Oryzias latipes: one gene and its partners. The protein of the gene in region 2 purifies or fractionates together with the protein of the main gene of each other region. This does not show direct contact. Links are inferred from orthologs where the notes say so. Each region holds a gene or a part of one and is shown on either strand. Other genes may lie near its edges. The genes, in order: ift27, cluap1, ift57 and ift46.

Region 1 (5,163 bases), on a different chromosome or scaffold from region 2:
TATGTATAGAAACATAAAACCTAAAACTAGCATCACAAAACGTGAAAGGATAAACATGCTTTTCCAGTGACAGACTAACTGCACTTACTGCATTTCTCCATGTGGTTTATTGACTTATTAAGTACATGTTAAGTACAGATCCTGCTGTAGTCATTTTCACTATTTCACTCTTTCTCTATTCCAATATATGAAAGATGTGGTGTCACAAGATTCTAGTCACGTACAAACAGCAGTTATTAACTAAAGATAGAGGTTGCTTTAAAGTAGGAAGTGTGAATGCAAGGGAATTATGAAGAGGATCACAAAACTTTATTTACATGCATAACATGAATACATTTAGAATCTACTACATAACTTAGCACCAGCCGCTCTTGCCAAAGAAGCACGTGTGAGCGTGTAACCAGATGATCTGTGTGGTGACCGTGTTAATCCCTCTGCGTAAAAGTACCTTAAGTCAGTCAGCCTGCACTGTGAGAGGTTTTAGAGAGAGCAACTTAATACCACACCAAATCATTTACCAACAAACAAAGCTTTCACTGAACTTTAAACAAGGCCTTAAACACACACACACACACACACGTCAACACTAAACCTGAACCTGCTTGGATTTTGTATTTCTAGACATGAACTATTTTCTTTATGTACGTTTCTTTGTTGTATCTATTGTTCCTAAATGCATGTATAGCTGTACTGAGATAGAAGCTTGAATTTTATCTTAATCTTATGTCTCCAATAATTGTTTATCTGTGCTGACCTATTACTGTATTTTACTGCTTTGTTAACATCAAGGCCAGAGGACTGAAGATGAAAAATAGCCTTCTGGTTAATTGTGTGGGCTGCACAGTGGAGCAGTAGTTAGCCCTAGTTCAAACCCAGCTGGGACCTTTCTGTGTGGAGTTAGCATTTTTCCCTGAGCATGCGTGGGTTTTCTCTGGGAACTCTGGCTTCCTCCTACAGTCCAAAAACATGCTTCCCAGGTTAATTGATGACTCTGAATTGCCCTTAGATCTGCACGTGTGCATATGTTCTGCAACAGACTGGGGACCTGTTCTGGCTAGACCCCACCTTCTCTCAATAGTAGCTGGGACAGGCTCCAGCAGGCCCATGACACAAAAGGGGTAGAGCAGATTCAGGAGATGGATGGATGGGTTGATTCTCGCTTTTTAGCTCGTCCTTTAGTTTGTGTTTTAGGAAATTGCATTGCCCCTTTTATATAAGCTTTTTTTTTAATCCAATCCAGTCTAATAGAATTAATAATTAATAATACATCATTAAATATTTTGGATATAGAGTTTAAAAAAAAGATAAAAAATGTAGTAAAATAGTCAGTATTCGTAGTGTAGCTTCATGCATTATATACAGTCTGGGCCATAAATATTTGGACATATTTGCATAAAAATGTGAAAAACTAAAGCATTTTTTTAAACACAATCCCTTCATTTCATGGGCTCGTAAGTAATTTGACAAATGAAATAACTGAAAACAAAATCGTCATTACTAATACTAATATTTCAGTTGCTGTTTGTTTGTGGGCAGATGGACAACGACCCAAAACAAACAGCCAAAGCAACTCAGGAGTTTATTAAAGCAAAGAAGTGGAATTTTCTTGAATGGCCAAGTCAGTCACCTGATCTTAACCCAATTAAGCATGCATTTCACTTGTTGGAGACTAAACTTCAGACAGAAAGGCCCACGAACAAACAGCAACTGAAAGCCGCTGCAGAAAACCCAGCATCTGGTGATGTCCATGAGTTCAATCCTTCAGGCTGTCATTGCCAACAAAGGGTTTTCAACCAAATATTAGTAATGACCATTTTGTTTTCAGTTATTTCATTTGTCCAATTACTTACAAGCCCATGAAATGAAGGGATTGTGTTTAAAAAATGCTTTAGTTTTTCATATTTGTATGCAATCATTTTGTTCAACCCATGGAATGAAAGCTGAAAGTATGAACTTCAATGGCATCTGAGTTGTCTTATTTAAAATTCACTGTTGTAATGTACAGAAACAAAATTAGAAAGAAGGTGTCTCTGTCCAAATATTTATGGTACTGACTGTAAAAAGCAAATTAAAGCAAGTAAGGTGGAATATTAGTGTGTGAAAGCTCCCAGAGACTAACAAATAATAGTGTATCTGTCTTGTTCTATTTTACAAAAAAGAAAAGAAAAGAAACACAATCTAATCACATATGATGGCAGCAAAAAATGATCAGTCCATCATTCCAGTCCAATGTGTGAAAACACTTTGAAGTGTGGATGAATGCTCTTATAATGTTCCCTTTGCATTATTTTAATTTGGAAAAACAACAGTGGGCTGAACTTTATGGGGCTAAAATATGAATGGATTTGCCATAAATTCTTGTTCACTTGTTTGTTTTTAATTTAAACTTGATTATAATGAAAGATATATATTTATTAGTGGCACTGGTTGAATTTTTGGCTAAAGATGCCTCAGATCGATTTTAGGTCAGTGAATCAGATCAAATCGGATCTTCAAAATGAACCAAAATCGACTAAGAATCAGAATGTCAACCAAAAATTATCATATGAATCGATTTGTTGTTAAAATGAATCCTTACACCCACCCAACCAGATTTGTAAAATCCTCACTAAACCAGCTAATAACCACTTCTATTGACTGAGACGTAATAATATAAAAGAGTTCTTTGGGCCAAAGCATGTTCCACTAAACACCCCACATTGAAAGTAATATGAGAAGCCCCCTGCATTTGCCTCAGGGTAACAGAACGAAACACTAGTTAGTTAAATGAAACCCTCGTCATACCATACTATAGTTCTTCAGAGTTCCATCACTGCAGATGAGAGAGCTTTTTCCCACAGCGGCATCACCTTCACACACAGACAAAAACACAAGGAATGAGGACATTCAGGGAGGAAAGGGGCTGTAGTATTATTCTAGAAGCTTCTTAACTGAGTCAGTGCGCATGCTAGCGAAACATCCATCACACAATAAACACATTAAACTTAACCAGACTGTTTCCTTCCCGCACACAGAACCAAGCAAAGAGTCTGCAAGATATAACACATATCTGCTAGTCCTTAACACTCTTTAGCTGCCTTTTTACCCTAAAGCAGTGTCAACTCTTTTTAATTAGCATTAGCCTGTTTCGTTTACATCGCAGAAAAGTTACAAACTTACCAACAAGCAGGCATTTGGCCCTCAATTTCATTATTGCATTGGATAAAAACTGTCAGTAATATCGTATTATCTTACTTATAAGGCTAAATTTAGCTAAATTTCTGAGGGGGATTAGCGCTATTTTATATACATTCTGCCATTCGACTCAGCAACATGGATTAAATTCGTCTCCCAGCAACCAGCCACAGTGGCGCTTATTGGTTAGTTAGCTGCAACGTAACCGAAAAATCTGTGCACTCGTTGGCTGAGAATAAATACTGTTGATAGAGCATTATTCCCCAGAGTAAGGTCTGTCAGGCAAAGATACTTGAACCAGGAACAACCTACCTATACATCATAATTACAGTTTGCAATAATTTCCGTCAAACACTATTGTATAAAATGTGAAAGTAAAGGAAATTTTTATTTAAACCTAAGTAAATAGGAATAAAAGTGAAGAATGGCCACAAGGGGGCAGAATTGTTAGAACTTCAACATACCTTTATTGGCTTAAATTGCATGCATTTTTTTCTAAAACAGACATATTTCTTTAGTTAAACATGACCAACAATATTTATTGAGGAATGTATACTGTTCATTATGTGAGATGAATAGCGAAGCGCGTGACACAAAGATCTCGTGAGCTCCAGCGCGTGTCCGTGTCGACTTTTTTGCGCTGTTTTGATCTGAGTGCGCGCTCCAGCGCAATTCAACAAGCACACTGTGAGGCGTGATAAGCGAGGCGCGTTCACGTGGGTGCCACTGGCTACAACACTGACAGCATCACCAAAACACCGGCTTCCTCCGTCCACACTCGACCTAACAACAGCCAATTTAGAGGTTTATCTGAACGCAGAAACAGGAGTGGAGAGCAGAGCCTCCGCGACAGAAACTAATCCCTCCTTGCAGGCAGACGCAGGACTTGTAGTACTAGTGGCTGCAGTAGCTGAGCGGTGGATCTATTTGTTTTTGTGGTTTCGCGTCGGTGCTCCACGCACACGCCGTGTCTTTGAAGTGGAAGTGGGGAGAGGAAGAGCATCTCAGTGGCGGCTGTCAAGAGAGGAGGAGGACAATGGAGGGGATGCAGGCATACGGAGCCGGGAAAGCCGGCGGAGGAGCCTTCGACCCTGTCACCTTCCTCCAGCAGCCACAGACCATTCTCCGCATAGTGTCTTGGGTAAGAAAGCAGTCCTGCAGAGGCCACAACTTAAATAGTATAAGTACTACTTCTTTACCATATTTGCTGTTTTCTTTATTAACGAAAACAAATATGCATAAACTGCTTTACAACTTTATTTATATTTTTGGAAATTATCATTTGAATTTAAATTTAGTGATTATCATCATTTAATGTAATCACTGGGTATCTTGTCTGTTCACAAATCAGCAATTAATGTATCTTTTTTTATATATAATAATTTGTTAAAAAACAGTTTAGGGTGAAACTATTTAAAAGGATTTCACAATAAAAGTTCTCTTGACTGTTTTTATCCGCACAGGAAGCAACATTTAAAAAAGTAGGCTATAATTATGAGGCATATTCAACACGTTTCCACATTCAAACGTTTAATACTGTAGGGGAAGTTCTTACCTTTAATGGGAAACCAAGTTTTAATTGACCATATTTGGTGTACTTAAAATGTGATAATAAATAAACCCAAACTCATTTAAATAACTATTGTGAAAAATCAGCTTGTGTGCTCAAATAAACATCACAGACAGGAGCTTAATCTGGGCCCAAGAAAGCCTTAAGTCCATTGTGTTTATAATAAAATGTTATCTACAATGACAAAGGTGTTTAGTGAGACAAGAGAAGAAAAAAATCTTTTTAGCCACTCTTGACAATAGTCTCTAAAATGATGTGAGCATTCTATCCCAAATTGATGCTGAATTTCCAAATAAACTCAGATTTAGTCATTAGTACACTGTGTGTCTTTAAAATGCCTATTTAAAACTTCTTTTCATATCCATAAAACAAAAAATACACACGATCTTATACTTGAAAAAAGAAAGGGAACAGAAAGA
Region 2 (4,408 bases):
TTTAGATGCCAAGATAGAAAGGAAGAAACAGGATCTGGAGAGGCATCAAAAGAGGCTCCAGACCCTGCAGAGTGTCAGGTCTGCGGTGTGATGAAGAGCACAGATACTAGAAGAGAAATGACAGATTCTTTTATTTACCAAATGCAGCCTGTTTTATAGAAGGATAATTGTTCTTCCTTTTCTCCTTCAGGCCAGCATTCATGGATGAATATGAGAAGATAGAAGAGGAGCTGAAGAAGCAATATGACCTTTACGAGAAGAAATTCCGAAACCTCAGCTTTCTGGAGTCTCAGCTGGAGGAACACCACAGACTAGAAAAGGAAAGGTTTGAGGTACGGATATAGAAGCACTGAGGGCTTCTCATTAGTTTCTTTTAAATTGAGTTTTTGATTAATAATAAACATTTCAAATATGTTTGCCTCAGTCAAATGTGACACTGTCTCTTTAATGCTAGAAAACCAGAATATATTTTTTTCTTCCATTACTTTTTTAGACAAAGATAATAAAAGCAAAAGATAACTGTTCTTTGAGTGCAGAAGGATCTGTTTTTTTCTGCAGAAAATGATTAAAAGTGCTTCACTTTCCATGGTCTGTGTCGCCTCTTTTGTAGGAAGCTGAAAACACTCTGAGGATAATGCAGCACAAACTGAGAGAGGAGAAACTTGACCTGATGAGGGGCTCCTGTGAGATCAAACACACACTTTAAGCAAAGTCCCATGTCCCAAATATCTTTAGCTCAAAGCAGTTTCTTGATTATTTCTTCTGAAGTGACAAATGAAGACTCTGACTTGGGCGTCATTGAGGATGAAGGTTCCGACAGCGACCTTGAAGAATCTCGGCCTTCAAAGCCGCGGCCCATGAGAAACGGCCTCATGACTGGTAAGCAGACAGCTTGAAGAAGAACATAATCTCTCAACGTGTACATAGTAAACCAACCTTAAAAAAGGAGAAAAAAGCGTTCATTTAGGTTTTCTCAAAGGAAAACTTGGATTCTAAAACTTGGTTGAACTGCTAAATGTCAAAGAGACTGTACCCCATGATCCCAGCTCCCACAGTGCAAAAAGTATACACCAACCACCAAAAGAGTACAGGTTGTCTGTTAATAACAAAGCCATTCGCACTCTATTGCCTTATATTTTATAGTTTTAACCTTTGATTGAGCTTAAGCGTAATTGAGCTTTGAAGCAGGAGAAGTGGAGCCTTTCAATTGCAGAAAAAAACTTTATGAAAACTAAGATGATGACATATATAAAGAGACCTTAGAACTGTGAGCAGAAAGGAAATTTTCTCTATTATTTTAAGCATTAAAAAAATCTCTGTTTAAAGTGTTCCTCTGTGCTTTACACAGAATGTGTTTAGAGATAGTTTTGACCATCTTTACCATTATCAGTTCACTTTTAAGTTGTGTCTGAATTCCTTCACTACTCACTATTTATTGCACTAAAGAGTGCGATAAATCACCATTTTGTGAGCTGTCCGAAAACAATTCCAAAATTCAGTGCCCTTTGGAAGTCTCTGCAAAAAACTAGTGTGCATCAATGCTCACTAGATTGGCAAATGTAGACCACAATGCATTGCATTTGAATGTTTTTTTTCATGTGAAAAAACATATTCAAATTCATTTTTTATAAATCATTCAAGTCTTTTTTAGCAGAACCCAGTGGATTCATAAATAGTATTTGTAAAGAAGAATTTCTGGAAATTGATGATGTCACATTTGCCGTTTAAAAGAAACACATGAGGATGATGTCCGAACTGTTTTTAAAATCCAGTCCCACACTATATGGATGCTATGGAGTAGTGAGGGAATTTGGACCTTGTCTTAAAGTTATTTAATCCCAAAATTTAAAGCTAAAACGTAAAAAAAAAAATCCAGAAAATCCATGAAACTCTGGTTCTCAAAAATGCTTTTTTTTTCTTTTCCAACAAGGGAGAGGAGGACTTTTTATTGGTAACATGCAGGGTGGTGACAGCGATGAGGTTAGTGATGTTCTTACTCACATTGCTTCCTTCATATTCATTCCATGGGCTGAGACTTCCAACATTCAAAGGATTTATCGCTTTTTGCCTTTTGCAACTTTTGATGGTAATTCAACTTTACCTGATGTCCAGTTATCCTGTGTTTTCTGCTGACCTCACCACTTAGTCTTTTTTCATTAATGTTTACTCATATCTCATAAGGTATTTTTACCAGTGTCCAAAACATCAGTCCCTCAGTTCAAAAAACACCCGAAAGGAAAGGTTTGTGCAAGACAAACGCCCACTTTATGTTTTTTTTCCAGCTCCTTGTGTATTTGAAGGAAAAATCAATCCTCAAAGTAAATGTTGGGAAATATTTATACTACTTACAGAAGTTAAAAATGTCAGTAATATTCATTGAACATGCTTTGCAGACAAGAGCTTGAATAAGAGAAAAGGTGCTGTCGCATTTTTTCCATAAAACATCAGAGTATCATCAGAACGAGCTGCACCAACACTTCTCACTTTTGAGCTAAAGGTGGATTTTTCCTTTAAATGACTTGAGTTTTCTGTTCACGCTAAAAGGCTAGTGTGTCCTGTCTAAAGTAGTGGAAACATTTGACCTGGTTATGTGTTTAGCTAAATAATCAAAGCATAGATTCCCATGTGATTCTACAGCCTGTGTGCAGAACCCGTCGAGTTTCTCCTGTTAGATTTGACTGCTCAGAACAGACTATTGCTCATGACTTTATCCCTGTTAATCTAGACTGATGACAGTGAAATCGATGTGGACGACGACGATGATGAGGAAGATGAGGAAAGAGAGGAGGAGAGCAAGGATTTGGAGGATGATAGTTTCGAAGGTCCCATGTCTAGAAACAACCGTCCTTCAATTGGAGCAGTGAGGCCTGCTCTGCTGGATGAAAGTGATAATGACTTTTAAGAAAAGAGCTCACCAAATTCTATAATTTGTCTGTTTCTAACTTGTATTTTAAGTTGGACCATGATATCAGCTTATCTCAAACGTATAAACATTGTTATTTACAGCATATATGTGGAGTGAAAATAGCCTCAACGGATTTGAGACTATTTTCTCTTCACTTTATGATGTAGCTCTTGTTTTTGACTGTATGAACTATCAAAATCCCTAACTGCATAGTAGTTTTGTTGTCTGTTTGTAATTCTTAAATTATTTTAAAGCCTTTTAATACATAAAAAAATAAAGAAATGGTTGATGTTTCCTTTTATGATGGAAAAGTAAAAAGCCTTTATCTAATTATTTGTTGTACTTATTATAGACATTGTCTATTTTTTTGTTTTGTGCCCACTACAATAGACACAGAAAGACTTAATTATTAATATTTCCAAAACGTTTTGACTTAAATCAGTGTGAATACAGTTTTTTTTTTTTTACAAATTTATTACCGATAAGTATAAACGCAATTACAAAACATGAATGAGTGCAAGTTTTTTTTTTCCCCAGATGCTTATTGTAAATATCAGGTAAAGTCCAAAGATATCAATATACATTGTACATTAATGCAAACTTATAAATAAAGAATGACATAAAATGAAATGCCAGTAAGAATAAATAAAAGTACAGAATGAGTGTGTAAAACAATGTTTGACATAACATTACAATTTTTTTTAAAACAATTTTATTTTGTAAAATAAAGGACGTTTTAAAACTTTTTGAAAAAGTAATTTATTTAGCAAAAATGTATTTAAAAAAAATAATTGAGATTTAGTTGGAAAATGTACATTTATACATGTAAAAATTAGAGTGGAAAAATTTGATTAAAACTTAACTCCTGTTGATGGAAACCAAACAATATACGTTTTAAGCAAAGAAAAGGGGACCATACATTTCTTTGTAACTAAAGATAATATCACAGAAAATTTGCCAAAAAGATTTTAGTGGGTTTAATTATACGTTTTTTGCAGGATAACATCGATTGCAGAAAAATATTTTTTTTGTTTGTTTTTTCTTTTTTTTGTCAGGAAGTACTTTAAAAATGTATTAAAAATTTGTAGAATACAGTAAAAAAAATTATAACAATACATTATAAGAATAGATTGCTTAAAATGTCCACTAAAAACGACCTAGCTTCGTGACGTCATCATCGTGCGCGACGATCGCAGGGAGGAGGTAGCGGATGCCTCTTCGAAACAAAACATTCGCAAACTCACGAGTTGCTTTTCCTCTCTTTCTGGTAAGTGACAGTGTCTGTATTAGTGCATTATTTATATCACGTTAACCTGCAAATGGAAGGATTTACTCCTTAAACAAACCAGTGCTGTTTAGCTAGCCATATTCATAGAAGCTAAACAGTGCTAGTTAGCATTTCTGATTAGCACTCCTGACATTTGGAGTAGGAGTTACTTTCTATTTTATCATCTCCGTAGTTGTAGATTAATCTTTACATATAGTCGTTATTTTTAGTTGGTA
Region 3 (5,210 bases), on a different chromosome or scaffold from region 2:
GTGGTATGACTCTCTCCACCTCCAGGTTCCACTCTGCAGCATCCACAGTCGCCTCCAAGATCTCCTCGGGTTTGGATGACAGTTCTGGTTCCTGTCAGACAGTAGGTCTGGTTTAAGAGCTCGACTCCTCTCTGAGAGGAACAGCCTCTGTGAAGGATCTGACCATTGAGTGTGTGAGAACTGGACTAAGCTAGTGAGACGTCTTTCTATGAGCCACCTGGTAGAACAGAGGTGGGCACTGAGGGCCGCATTCCTGCATGTTTTCCAGCATACCCTGCTCTGGCATGTTCTAATTGGCTGGACACACCTGAACCAGGTAATCAGTCATGAGTAGGGCAAGATTATTGGCTGGACACACCTGAACCAGGTAATCAGCCATGAGTAGGGAAAGGCTATCTTGAAATCATGCAGACACACCGGCCCTCGAGGCCTGGAATTGCCCACCCCTGTGGTAGAAAATGCCTCACTTCCAGCCCCAACCAAAAGAAGTCAATTCAGTCGCCTTTTTTTTTTTGCATAACGGATGCCGCCACGTTGAAACCAAAGGACGTCAGAGTGGTAGGACCGAATCGATCAAAGTCATCATTTCTATGGCAACCACTCTCGCCAATCAGGAGTGAGCTTGTGGAAGTCCACACCCCTAGCACTTTAAAGCCGGCTCGGGAGAATCTGTCAAACGTTTTGAACGTTCAATGTCAGGACACATGCTTTTATTGAGGCACCTGATTGGTCGGTTTATAACTTGAATAAATTGAATCATAGAAGAAATATCAGAGGGAAAAAATTTGGATTATGAAGAACATATTAAAAAGGTATCAGAGCAATAATGGTCATCCTGACACATAGAATGACTGAGTAAGAGTTGTTTATTTATCGATGGAAGTCTTTGGCTTCTTGGAGCCAGCGGGTCCTTCCTATTAGGAACGCGAGGGGGGGGGGGGGGGGGGGCGGAGTCACTCAGTCCAGCTCTCATCTACAGTCAATGGGAGTGCTCTCTCTTGTCTGTATAAAGACAAGTTTTTCTCACATTGTGGAAGTTCCGCAACTTCAGAGACTCCAGATCCATCGCAATTTCCTCCTCATCCTCATCTTCCTCCTGAAGTCACAATTAGAAAACAATCTTTTAAAAAATCAAATACAAGAATGAAAAACAAAAAGGACACCAGTTTTTGCAAAAGCGGCGTTGAAATAAGCTGTCAGCATTTTTCTCTGTGAAGTGCTGACCAATATTTCCTCCTCTGCTGTGCTGAGTGTGACTTCTGCATCGTCCTCCAGCATCGACTCTTCCTCCGGGGTTTCTGACGGGTAATCTGGCCTAAAGGGGAGGAGGGAGAAGAACACTTCATCTCAAACTGGAGCAGCCAGTGAGGCCTCGCTGTTGTCAAATCTGTAAAGTCCCACCACAGTGATCTATCTGATGTACTGTAAAAGTGTCCCCCAGTGTTTTTTTAATTATGATGGTGCAGATTTTAGCCAAAATTAAAAAAAAAAAAGTGTCCTTTACTAGGATATCGTTTCTGCAGAGCAGCAACAGTTCATTAGAAATACACCTTTAAGTTGTGGGGGGGACTATTGGGGCAGAGAAAGCCTGTCCTCATTTCCCATCATCCCTTTGTTTTACACTCTCTTCCACTAGCTTACAGTCCCTCACATCCCCAACCTAACATCACCGGTACAACAAAATATGGGGAGCCATATTGCAGCTTCAGGAAGGTCATTTTATGCTTTACTTTCTTCATATAGGTCTTCTATAATGAGAAAAATGCCACAAAACATTAAAAACACCACAAACACAATTTTAATCGGAGATCTTTAAGGTGTGGCGGCCTGAACTTAACCAAACTGACTTCTGACCACAACCGGTATTGTTGGGACCCAAGAAGAAAGACACTCCAACCTTGCAGCTGTAAAACTGCTTCATTCATTCCAGTCTTGAACTGGCTCCAGTACCAGCCTAGAACCCGTGTCTGGCCCAAAAGATGTCCCAGCGTAAAGCAGAGCAGAAGCACCTTTTGAAGGAGAAGTTTCTCCTCTTCAAAGCCTCGTCGGCCAGTCGGTCCAACACCAAGCAGACGTGCTCGCCTGAGCCCGTCTTCAATTTGGAGGGAGGGAAGTCCACCTTTACGCCCTGAAACCCACCAGGGTCACAGTCAGAGGTCGTCCTCACACATCTGAGATCAGAGTCTAAGTCACACAGAAAGGGACATATTGGATCATCTGCATGTGAAACAGCAGCTCACAAAGGCTCTCAGCTCCGCCAGGATGTTGGACACGGTGGCGTTGGGCTCGTCGTGCTCCCGGGGTTCGGTGAACGGCCTCCCTGCCACGTTGATGAGCCAGGCAGCGATGATGGTGAACATGTAAAACTGCTCACCCGGATTGGAGGACAGGTGGGAGTTGGAGACAAAGTAGTGCCTGGGAAGAGAAGGAAGAAGATACATGAATCACAAGATCAGATCATGTTTGAAATGAAACACATTTAGGAAGACAACTTCAATAATAAGCAGTCTGGAAAGATGTATTACACTTTAGGCATTTATTTGTAGACTTACTGCTATTTTCTTAAGTGTATTTAAAATTGATTTAAAATTGTATAAAAATAAAGATTTAGTGCTCGGGAAAAGTACAAAATGTGATCAAAGCTGTTTTCAACTTTTGTCTTTGTTTTTTTCATTTAACACAATCGACGGTCCAGCTCAGGTTCTGTTCTATTAGCTCTGTTCCGGCAGATATCATCACTGCTTCTTATCGTGTTCTGCTTCAAAACGTCGTCTTCAGGGAGCTGAAATTCAGCTTAAACCCGTCATTTGGCTCGTTTCGTTCCTGACCTGCACACTTTCTTCATGTTGTGTTTGTCCAGAAGCTCCTCGTAGTTCAGAGCGTCGAGCTTTTCTAACAGTCCCTCCATCACCGACACCATCCGGTGAGCGGCTCCCGGGCCCCGCTCATCCTCCTCTGCCATGAGCCCAGCTACTTTTCAAACCGCTTTAAAATCCACTAAAAAAATAAATGTTTTCTGGGGCCTTGTTTGTTCGATTAGCACACGCTGCTCTGCTAGCTCAGGTTGACTGTAGGCCCGTTGCCTAGCAACCGAAAGCTAAGTAGCCCTTTTCTTAACACGTATTTCTTTTTCCTCCCTTTAAACTTTAAATATGCGCATTGAGAATTTGCTCAACAGCAACAAAACAACATTCAAACTGTCTGGAAAACAGAATGGGTGTGACCAAGTTCGAGGGCTCCGTCCTTAGCATAAGAAACTTGGTAGATTTGTTTGCTAACTTGAGTTTGATCTCTTCTTCTGCTAGAATATAGAGTCAAACATCGCCCCCTAGAGGGCGGGAGAGGGACCTGAATATTGGGACTGGGATTTTGTTCTTAAAATGAAAATATCCTTTTTGCATTTACTGAGGCATTTGTACACAAATACACCATGCAAGAAATTCTACTGTTATTTTGATTGTACTATCTTAATCTCAGATTAAAAAAGAAGGTAATTTATGTCCAACAGTGCATGGAGCCATCTAAAAGGCTTAAAGTTAAAGTGCATCATCTTTCTGTTATTCTAAAGTGAAAGGAGCAAAATGAAAATACAAATGTTTAACAACCTGCTGATAGTGGGGAAAAAAAATTCCAAAAAAACCCGTTAAAACTACTTCATTTTTTTTAGGTATGTAGAAGGAACTTAAAATGTAAGGTATTTTGAAACTGAAGGGTCAGCTGTAAATTTACAAGGACATTGGAATTAAGATATTTTCAGATTAAATTGATTTTTTCTTTAATGTTTTATGATGCTGCTCAGGCATTATTATTAAATACGTTTTTTGGGTTTTTTTTTTGCCAACAGGGTGTCTGTGTTTTTCTTTCCTTATAATTTTGACCAATACTGTCATAATTTTGGGTACATATTTTTTGGACAAACTTTTTTATTTTCACATTTATTTTGAAGATTTCTTTTAGAAAAAGGTTGACGGGGTGCATAATCATTACAGTATAACACCCATCATTGTGCTTGTTTCTTTTTTAATACACTTATTGACAAAAAGAAAAAAGGTACGAAAGCAAAATTAAATGGAATTCTTTTTTTTAAAGGAAGCAAAATCTCTACATATAGATAAAAGATAATAAACAGATAATGTCACCTTTAAACTTTGATTAAATTCCTTTACAATTAAATGCATATGGTTTTTTTTTTTTTGGGGGGGGGGGGGGGGGTGTTTCGTTTTTGCACAGAACCTCATAATCTAATTAAATTCCAAAACAATTCCCCAAAAAAGTTTTTCCTATAATGGATTGTGGGTGTTTGTCAGTTTGCCAATAAGTTTGTAAGGAGTTCAAACCTTTAACTTCGGTGTTTTTAAGTAGAAACACATTTGTTCATCATACAGCGTTTAACTTGCAGAACTTTATTGACACAGTAAGATGAGTAACACTTGTCACGGAGAGCGTCTCTGCGTCAGGCTGAAGAGGCCCGACGTCCTTTCAGTGAGACGTTTCTCAAATGGAAAAGTCTCTTCATGTCTTTCCTCCTTTTAAAAACATCTTCTGCATCTGGAGACAAAATGTAGGAAATAATCCTCTGAAGAGGTACAAACAGTAATAGCTTTAGTGTTCACGCGTGACAGAACACGCGAGCGAACGCAGGAGTGGAGGAGGCGTCCTGCCGCTGCTCCCACTTCCATCTGCTTCAAAGCACAGCTCTGAACCTGTAGATGCTCACTGCAGTAGTTCTGAGAGAAAGATCTGACATTTAAAACAAAAGGACACTTTCACAGTCGGGGGGGGGGGACTTCAGAACATGCAGGGGAAAAAAAGGGTAAGAAGTTCCTTCAGTTACAGTGACTCTATGCAGTCGGTCGCACAGACACCAAACCTCAGGTGAATCTGCAGAAACAATCATGCACAGTTTTGAGGAGCGGCTCGCCACAATGTCCCGCTCACATTCAGGGTGAAAGTGTTGGAGCCCAAATGTTAGTTCAATCTGTGCAGAGCGAAGGCCTTAGTCACCGCCGTCTTTACGGGTGGATACGAGCAAACCTGTACGCAGATTTTAAGATTCTAGATTGAAAGTGTTCATACACGTTTTTTTCTAAGGCCATGATCCGAGCAACAGGTCATAGCGAACACTTCCATGTGTACGGGGGAAGTAGGGGAGACGCAGGCGTGTTGTACAGACTTTTTTATTTTTCTTTCTCCCCCCAAATTCCACAGAT
Region 4 (5,126 bases), on a different chromosome or scaffold from region 2:
TGTGTGTGTCTACAGGTGTGTCTTCAGGTGTGTGTGTGTCTACAGGTGTGTGTGTGTCTACAGGTGTGTGTCTGCATGTGTGTGTCTACAGGTGTGTGTCTACAGGTGTGTGTGTCTATAGGTGTGTGTGTGTCTACAGGTGTGTGTCTACAGGTTTGTGTGTGTCTACAGGTGTGTGTCTACAGGTGTGTGTGTGTCTACAGGTGTGTGTGTGTCTACAGGTGTGTGTCTACAGGTGTGTGTGTGTCTACAGGTGTGTGTGTGTCTACAGGTGTGTGTCTACAGGTGTGTGTGTGTCTACAGGTGTGTGTGTGTGTCTACAGGTGTGTGTCTAAAGGTGTGTGTGTGTCTACAGGTGTGTGTCTACAAGTGTGTGTCTGCAGGTGTGTGTGTCTACAGGTGCGTGTGTGTCTGCAGGTGTGTGTCTGCAGGTGTGTGTCTACAGGTGTGCGTCTGCAGGTGTGTGTGTCTACAGGTGTGTGTGTGTCTGCAGGTGTGTGCCTGCAGGTGTGTGTCTGCAGGTGTGTGTCTGCAGGTGTGTGTGTTTACAGGTGTGTGTGTGTGCCTGCAGGTGTGTGTCTGCAGGTGTGTGCCTGCAGGTGTGTGTCTGCAGGTGTGTGTCTGCAGGTGTGTGTCTGCAGGTGTGTGTTTCCCAGCAGGTGTGTGTACCTGAGCACTTCCGTGTTGCTTGCTCTCTTCGGACAGCCACAGCGACAGAACCGTTGGGTCTGACTGTTTCACACTGGGTTCATCAAGAACCAGAAGACCCAGAGAGTCTGGTTTCCCATCTGGACGGGGGACCTGAACGCCACACAAGCACATTCTTAGAGGGGCCCAGCTGGGCTGGGTCGTGGTTCTGCTCCAGTTCTGGTTCTGGTTCTGAACAACTACTTCTTTCTCAGCAGATTGGAACTGCTGGTTCAGGAGGAACTGAAACCAGATCAGAACATCATGGTCTGCATGGGTCCATACACTATTACTGACTCTGGGTCAGTGAAACAACCGGAACCACTAGAACTCAAACTTCGGTGGCCTTAGGGGAGGGGCTTAACCAGATCCTCTGGCTCCACCCATGGCTAATCACCTGGATCACTGACCAACAGAAGATGGCAGAGCAGGGTGCCGTCAGACAGAACAGAACCAGAACCGTCTGGACCGTGGGAGTGTTTGTACCTTCAGGAAGGCGTCGATGTCGCCCACAGCCGGGATGAAGTCTGGGATGAAGGGTTTGAGGCGGAGCTCCAGATCGAAGCTCTGAGGAGTGTACCTGAGGAGACGAAGGTCAGAGCGTGCACGTGTGTAGACCGTGCACGTGGGGAGGCCCTACCGTGTGATGTACTGGAACAGCTCCTTGATGTCGGTGCTGACGGGCAGGTTGGCGTAGTCCGCCGGGTCGTACTCCAGAGCCTGCGAGGACTCATCGTCTTCATCCTCATCAGAGTCCTCAGAGTCGGACTCCTCCTCCTCCTCTTCCTCCTCTTCCTCCTCGTTGGGACTGGCCCCCGGGTGGGACCTGGCTGCCGGCTCTGTGGCCCTCTGGGGCCGCGGCTCCTCGTCAAACTCGTCGCTGCTGCTGCGGGCCGACATCAGGCTGCGGACCCGCCGCCGAGCCCCCAGCTCTGACTGAGAGGAGCAGAACCGGGTCTGAAAGGTTCTGAACCGTTAAGAACCAACAGGGGGGGCGGTCACGGATGCAGAAACTGGACTTGGTTCTGGCTTTGGTGTCTGGGTTCTTTCACAATAAAAGCCTCCTCCTGCTTGGAAGAAAAGTAAATTGTGCCTCTGTCGGTTTGCTATCATCTGTTATTTCACAGACTTTGAAACAGCCTGGAACCAGGTCCCCCCCCCCCCCCCCCTGCAGTTCTGCGCTCCTGTCTTAGAGAAGGCAAAGGGGAGGGGTAGTGGGTGCAGGCTGCGAGAAATGCGATTACGCAACACCTGCATCATGGCGTGCTGTTGATCAGTCAGCAGCTGTTAATAATGTCATTATTTACTGACTATGGTTTATTATTCAGCTGGTGTCAGTATCTGACAGACAGGCAGCAGGAGAACAGCTGCACTTTATCAGATCATCAATAAACTAGAGATCATTTTTATGGACTGAGGTTTTTGGAGGATTTCTACTGTTGATGTCGCACAAAATGAGGGAAATGCTAAATATTTTTGGAGTAATCCCACTGATGAGTTCTATGTTTTAGTTTTTAATGTTTTATAAGAGCTAAAAATAATATTCACAGTAATTTGTTTTTTATCCAATCCCTCTGATGTGTTTCACAAAGACACACACAGAACGACACACACCAAGAAATTAATGCTAAAATGATGCAGGAGTCCAGCTCTAAAAAATGATAAAGGAGCAAAGAAAACGGAAAGACGTGATTTGTTATTTCTTATTATTAATATTTCCAGGTTTGTTTGTTTTGTTCTGCAGCATCTTCATGTTTGCATAATTTTGACAGAATATGTTTTTATGGAGAGCAAAATATTAAACGTTATTTAAGGGTTACCAGAGTTTTACCAAAACCCAGAGTGTTCTGGATTTAGGCCCCCAGTGGGACTGAGTTTGACCCCCCCCCCGTAATATGAGTCTAGAAAATGCATTCATGTTGTGTAAAATGTTATAAAAAATGTTAAAAGGATGCCTCGCGCGTGTGTGTGTGTGTGTGTGTGTGTGTGTGTGTGTGTGTGGGTGTGTGTGTGTGTGTGTGTGTGTTAGTCAGCGTAGAACCGGTGTGGTACCTACACCGAGAACTTTGATGCAGAACCTCTTCACGCCCCCACCCCCACATGCTGCTGCGTCTTGCAGCTGTTGCCATGGCAACAGTCCTTCCAAATTCTCGGGCCCTAACTGGACCCCGGTTCCGGCCTCCTACCTGCCGCGGTCCTCCGGGCTCCGGGCTGCGGAGGCTCCGCTCCTCTCCGTCCGCCTCCAGGCTCTCGTCGTACGGCTGGTTCCGCAGCAGTCTGGGCCCTCTGGCCCGGTCCATGGACCCGGTCCGGGCTTACCTGCAGAACCTCTGAGCGCCGGTTCGGTTCCGAAGAACGGCTAAGCTAACGTTAGCACCGTTACGCGTTTGTTTCTGAGGGTTACCGGAAATACCGACAGTATCCTGGCAACGGATCCCACAAGGCATTATGGGTAATGTAGTTATAATGTGGAATTCCAGTAAAAAAACTGTTTTTTAATGAAAAGATTTCAGTTTATTCAGCATTTTCACACTAGAAATGTTTAAACTTTTGAAATAAAAGAGTTTTATTTAAATATTTGAGGAAATGAATGAAGTAAAATAAATCCTTTGTAGTTTAAATCCATAAGAACTACAATCTGTGTTTAGCTAACTGTGTGGAAGAACCCAAACAGATCCTCCAGTTCATTGGCAGAACCTCAAGCAGAACCTCAAGCAGAACCTCAAACAGAACCTCAAATAGAACCTCAAACAGCTCAATGAAAATTTTCCATCAATGTTTCCACCATCATGTCAGTAAAAATCTGTTTTCCAACAATAAAAACGTGGTTTTAGATTTTGCAGTGGTGGAAGATAAATGATACTTATTTAAATGTCATTTTTGTCTGAATTTGACATTTGATTCTATCGCTAAACTGATGAACGTGTCGAGGAGTGTAATCAGATTACAGTTTTTCAGGAGGAATTTGACAGCTTTCTGTCTGCAGAGAGAATAGGAGGAAGAGGAGGAAAGTCTTCCAATCTGTTTCTCTGATTTCAAATCTCCACAAAAACCTGCGTTTGAGTTTACTTCATCGTTTTGGTTCATTCCATTCATGTACTTCTACAGATTTGGAATCTCGTCATGATTTCTGCTTCACATGTTGCAGCTGATTAGAGAATCCACTTTGAGAAGAACCCCCAGAGAACCCTGAGTCCAGAGAACCCTGAGTCCAGAGAACCCTGAGTCCAGAAATCCCTGAGTCCAGAGAACCCTGAGTCCAGAAATCCCTGAATCCAGAGAACCCTGAGTCCAGAGAACCCTGAGTCCAGAGAACCCTGAATCCAGAGAACCCTGAATCCAGAGAACCCTGAATCCAGAGAACCCTGAGTCCAGAGAACCCTGAATCCAGAGAACCCTGAGTCCAGAGAACCCTGAGTCCAGAGAACCCTGAATCCAGAGAACCCTGAATCCAGAGAACCCTGAATCCAGAGAACCCTGAGTCCAGAGGGCCATGAGGACAGGTGGTCTCCCTGTCGGACTCAGAGACTATGACCTTTAACCCGCTACAGCGGAGTGAAGAACTGGAACCAGGACAGGATCCCAGCTGAGGAACCATCAACACAGAGGGAGAACACACTTTGGACCAGCTGGAATTCAGCTCCTTTGATCTTTAATTCAAACTCAACACCAAAAAAAAACATGCTTCTGTTTAAAACCAGAACCTTGTCAGATCTGTAACATTTGGACTAGAGGACCAAAGCAAAGACAGACGTCCCTCATCCTTCATCCAAACGCCGCGTCATGGCGGGAAATCAGCGCCGCCGCTCCTCCATGGAGCTTCACAGCCTGCTCTCCGGGATCCTGCTGTCCTTCTCTTGGACGGGTTCGGTGGGACCGGAAGGTCCGGCTTCCCCGTCGGCCTCGTCTGCACAGATTCAAAACAGAAGAGTTGGACGGGACAGACGGAGAAACGACATTTTGACTCTGAGGACATCTCTGTGGTTCTGGAGTTCAGAACCTGCTGGGTTCATGAAGACTGAACTGATGAATGTTCTGGACCGAAATCATCCCAGATGGAGTCTGAGGTTCTCTCCAGGATGGACCTCACTTTGCAGACTGAGGGAACCATGACTCAGCGTCACACTGAGTCCACTGAGATCCTCAGACCAACCAGTAGATGGCAGCATTTCCACCTGGAGGCTGGACTCTGGAACCAAAACGCCTCGTTGGTTCTGCAGAACCATCTGATGGTGCTAACGTCAGTCCACTTCCCTGAACGTCTCATGGGTTTTCAGGTCAGGTTTGTGATGAAGGGTGAGGATGACTACGGGGGGGGGGGGGGGGGCAGCTTCATCAAACCTCAGCAGGAAACTCAAATCCAGCAGGTGGAGGTATTTAGGCTGAGCTCCACCCACAGGAGGACTGACCTTTGATGTGACGGGCCAGGAGGCGTGGTC

Evidence for each region.
Region 1: the proteins of cluap1 (region 2) and ift27 purify together in Homo sapiens (affinity purification with mass spectrometry; 3 studies listed by BioGRID and IntAct, with this or other methods). This does not show direct contact. The link is inferred for Oryzias latipes from reciprocal best matches to the Homo sapiens genes CLUAP1 and IFT27.
Region 3: the proteins of cluap1 (region 2) and ift57 purify together in Homo sapiens (affinity purification with mass spectrometry; 4 studies listed by BioGRID and IntAct, counting the BioPlex papers as one, with this or other methods). This does not show direct contact. The link is inferred for Oryzias latipes from reciprocal best matches to the Homo sapiens genes CLUAP1 and IFT57.
Region 4: the proteins of cluap1 (region 2) and ift46 purify together in Homo sapiens (affinity purification with mass spectrometry; 3 studies listed by BioGRID and IntAct, with this or other methods). This does not show direct contact. The link is inferred for Oryzias latipes from reciprocal best matches to the Homo sapiens genes CLUAP1 and IFT46.

What each region holds. Positions count from the first base shown.
Region 1 is NC_019859.2:24,930,854-24,936,016, reverse strand, and holds the start of ift27 (intraflagellar transport protein 27 homolog), read right to left. Parts: upstream 3,347-5,163; 5' UTR 3,191-3,346; coding exon 3,160-3,190; intron 2,850-3,159; coding exon 2,785-2,849; intron 1-2,784. Other genes in the region: syngr1 (synaptogyrin-1), read left to right, coding at 4,211-4,315. UniProt on the Homo sapiens protein: Small GTPase-like component of the intraflagellar transport (IFT) complex B that promotes the exit of the BBSome complex from cilia via its interaction with ARL6. Not involved in entry of the BBSome complex into cilium. Prevents aggregation of GTP-free ARL6.
Region 2 is NC_019862.2:10,331,382-10,335,789, forward strand, and holds the end of cluap1 (clusterin-associated protein 1), read left to right. Parts: coding exon 1-78; intron 79-190; coding exon 191-332; intron 333-610; coding exon 611-683; intron 684-768; coding exon 769-879; intron 880-1,930; coding exon 1,931-1,980; intron 1,981-2,725; coding exon 2,726-2,902; 3' UTR 2,903-3,190; downstream 3,191-4,408. UniProt on the Homo sapiens protein: Required for cilia biogenesis. Appears to function within the multiple intraflagellar transport complex B (IFT-B). Key regulator of hedgehog signaling.
Region 3 is NC_019875.2:10,101,282-10,106,491, forward strand, and holds the start of ift57 (intraflagellar transport protein 57 homolog), read right to left. Parts: upstream 3,340-5,210; 5' UTR 2,963-3,339; coding exon 2,829-2,962; intron 2,416-2,828; coding exon 2,241-2,415; intron 2,129-2,240; coding exon 2,010-2,128; intron 1,316-2,009; coding exon 1,225-1,315; intron 1,097-1,224; coding exon 1,028-1,096; intron 92-1,027; coding exon 1-91. UniProt on the Homo sapiens protein: Required for the formation of cilia. Plays an indirect role in sonic hedgehog signaling, cilia being required for all activity of the hedgehog pathway.
Region 4 is NC_019876.2:249,040-254,165, forward strand, and holds the start of ift46 (intraflagellar transport protein 46 homolog), read right to left. Parts: upstream 3,116-5,126; 5' UTR 2,988-3,115; coding exon 2,874-2,987; intron 1,758-2,873; exon of another isoform or gene 1,624-1,757; coding exon 1,328-1,623; intron 1,268-1,327; coding exon 1,174-1,267; intron 802-1,173; coding exon 670-801; intron 1-669. Other genes in the region: sodium/hydrogen exchanger 9B2, read right to left, coding at 4,509-4,594, 5,097-5,126. UniProt on the Homo sapiens protein: Forms part of a complex involved in intraflagellar transport (IFT), the bi-directional movement of particles required for the assembly, maintenance and functioning of primary cilia. May play a role in chondrocyte maturation and skeletogenesis.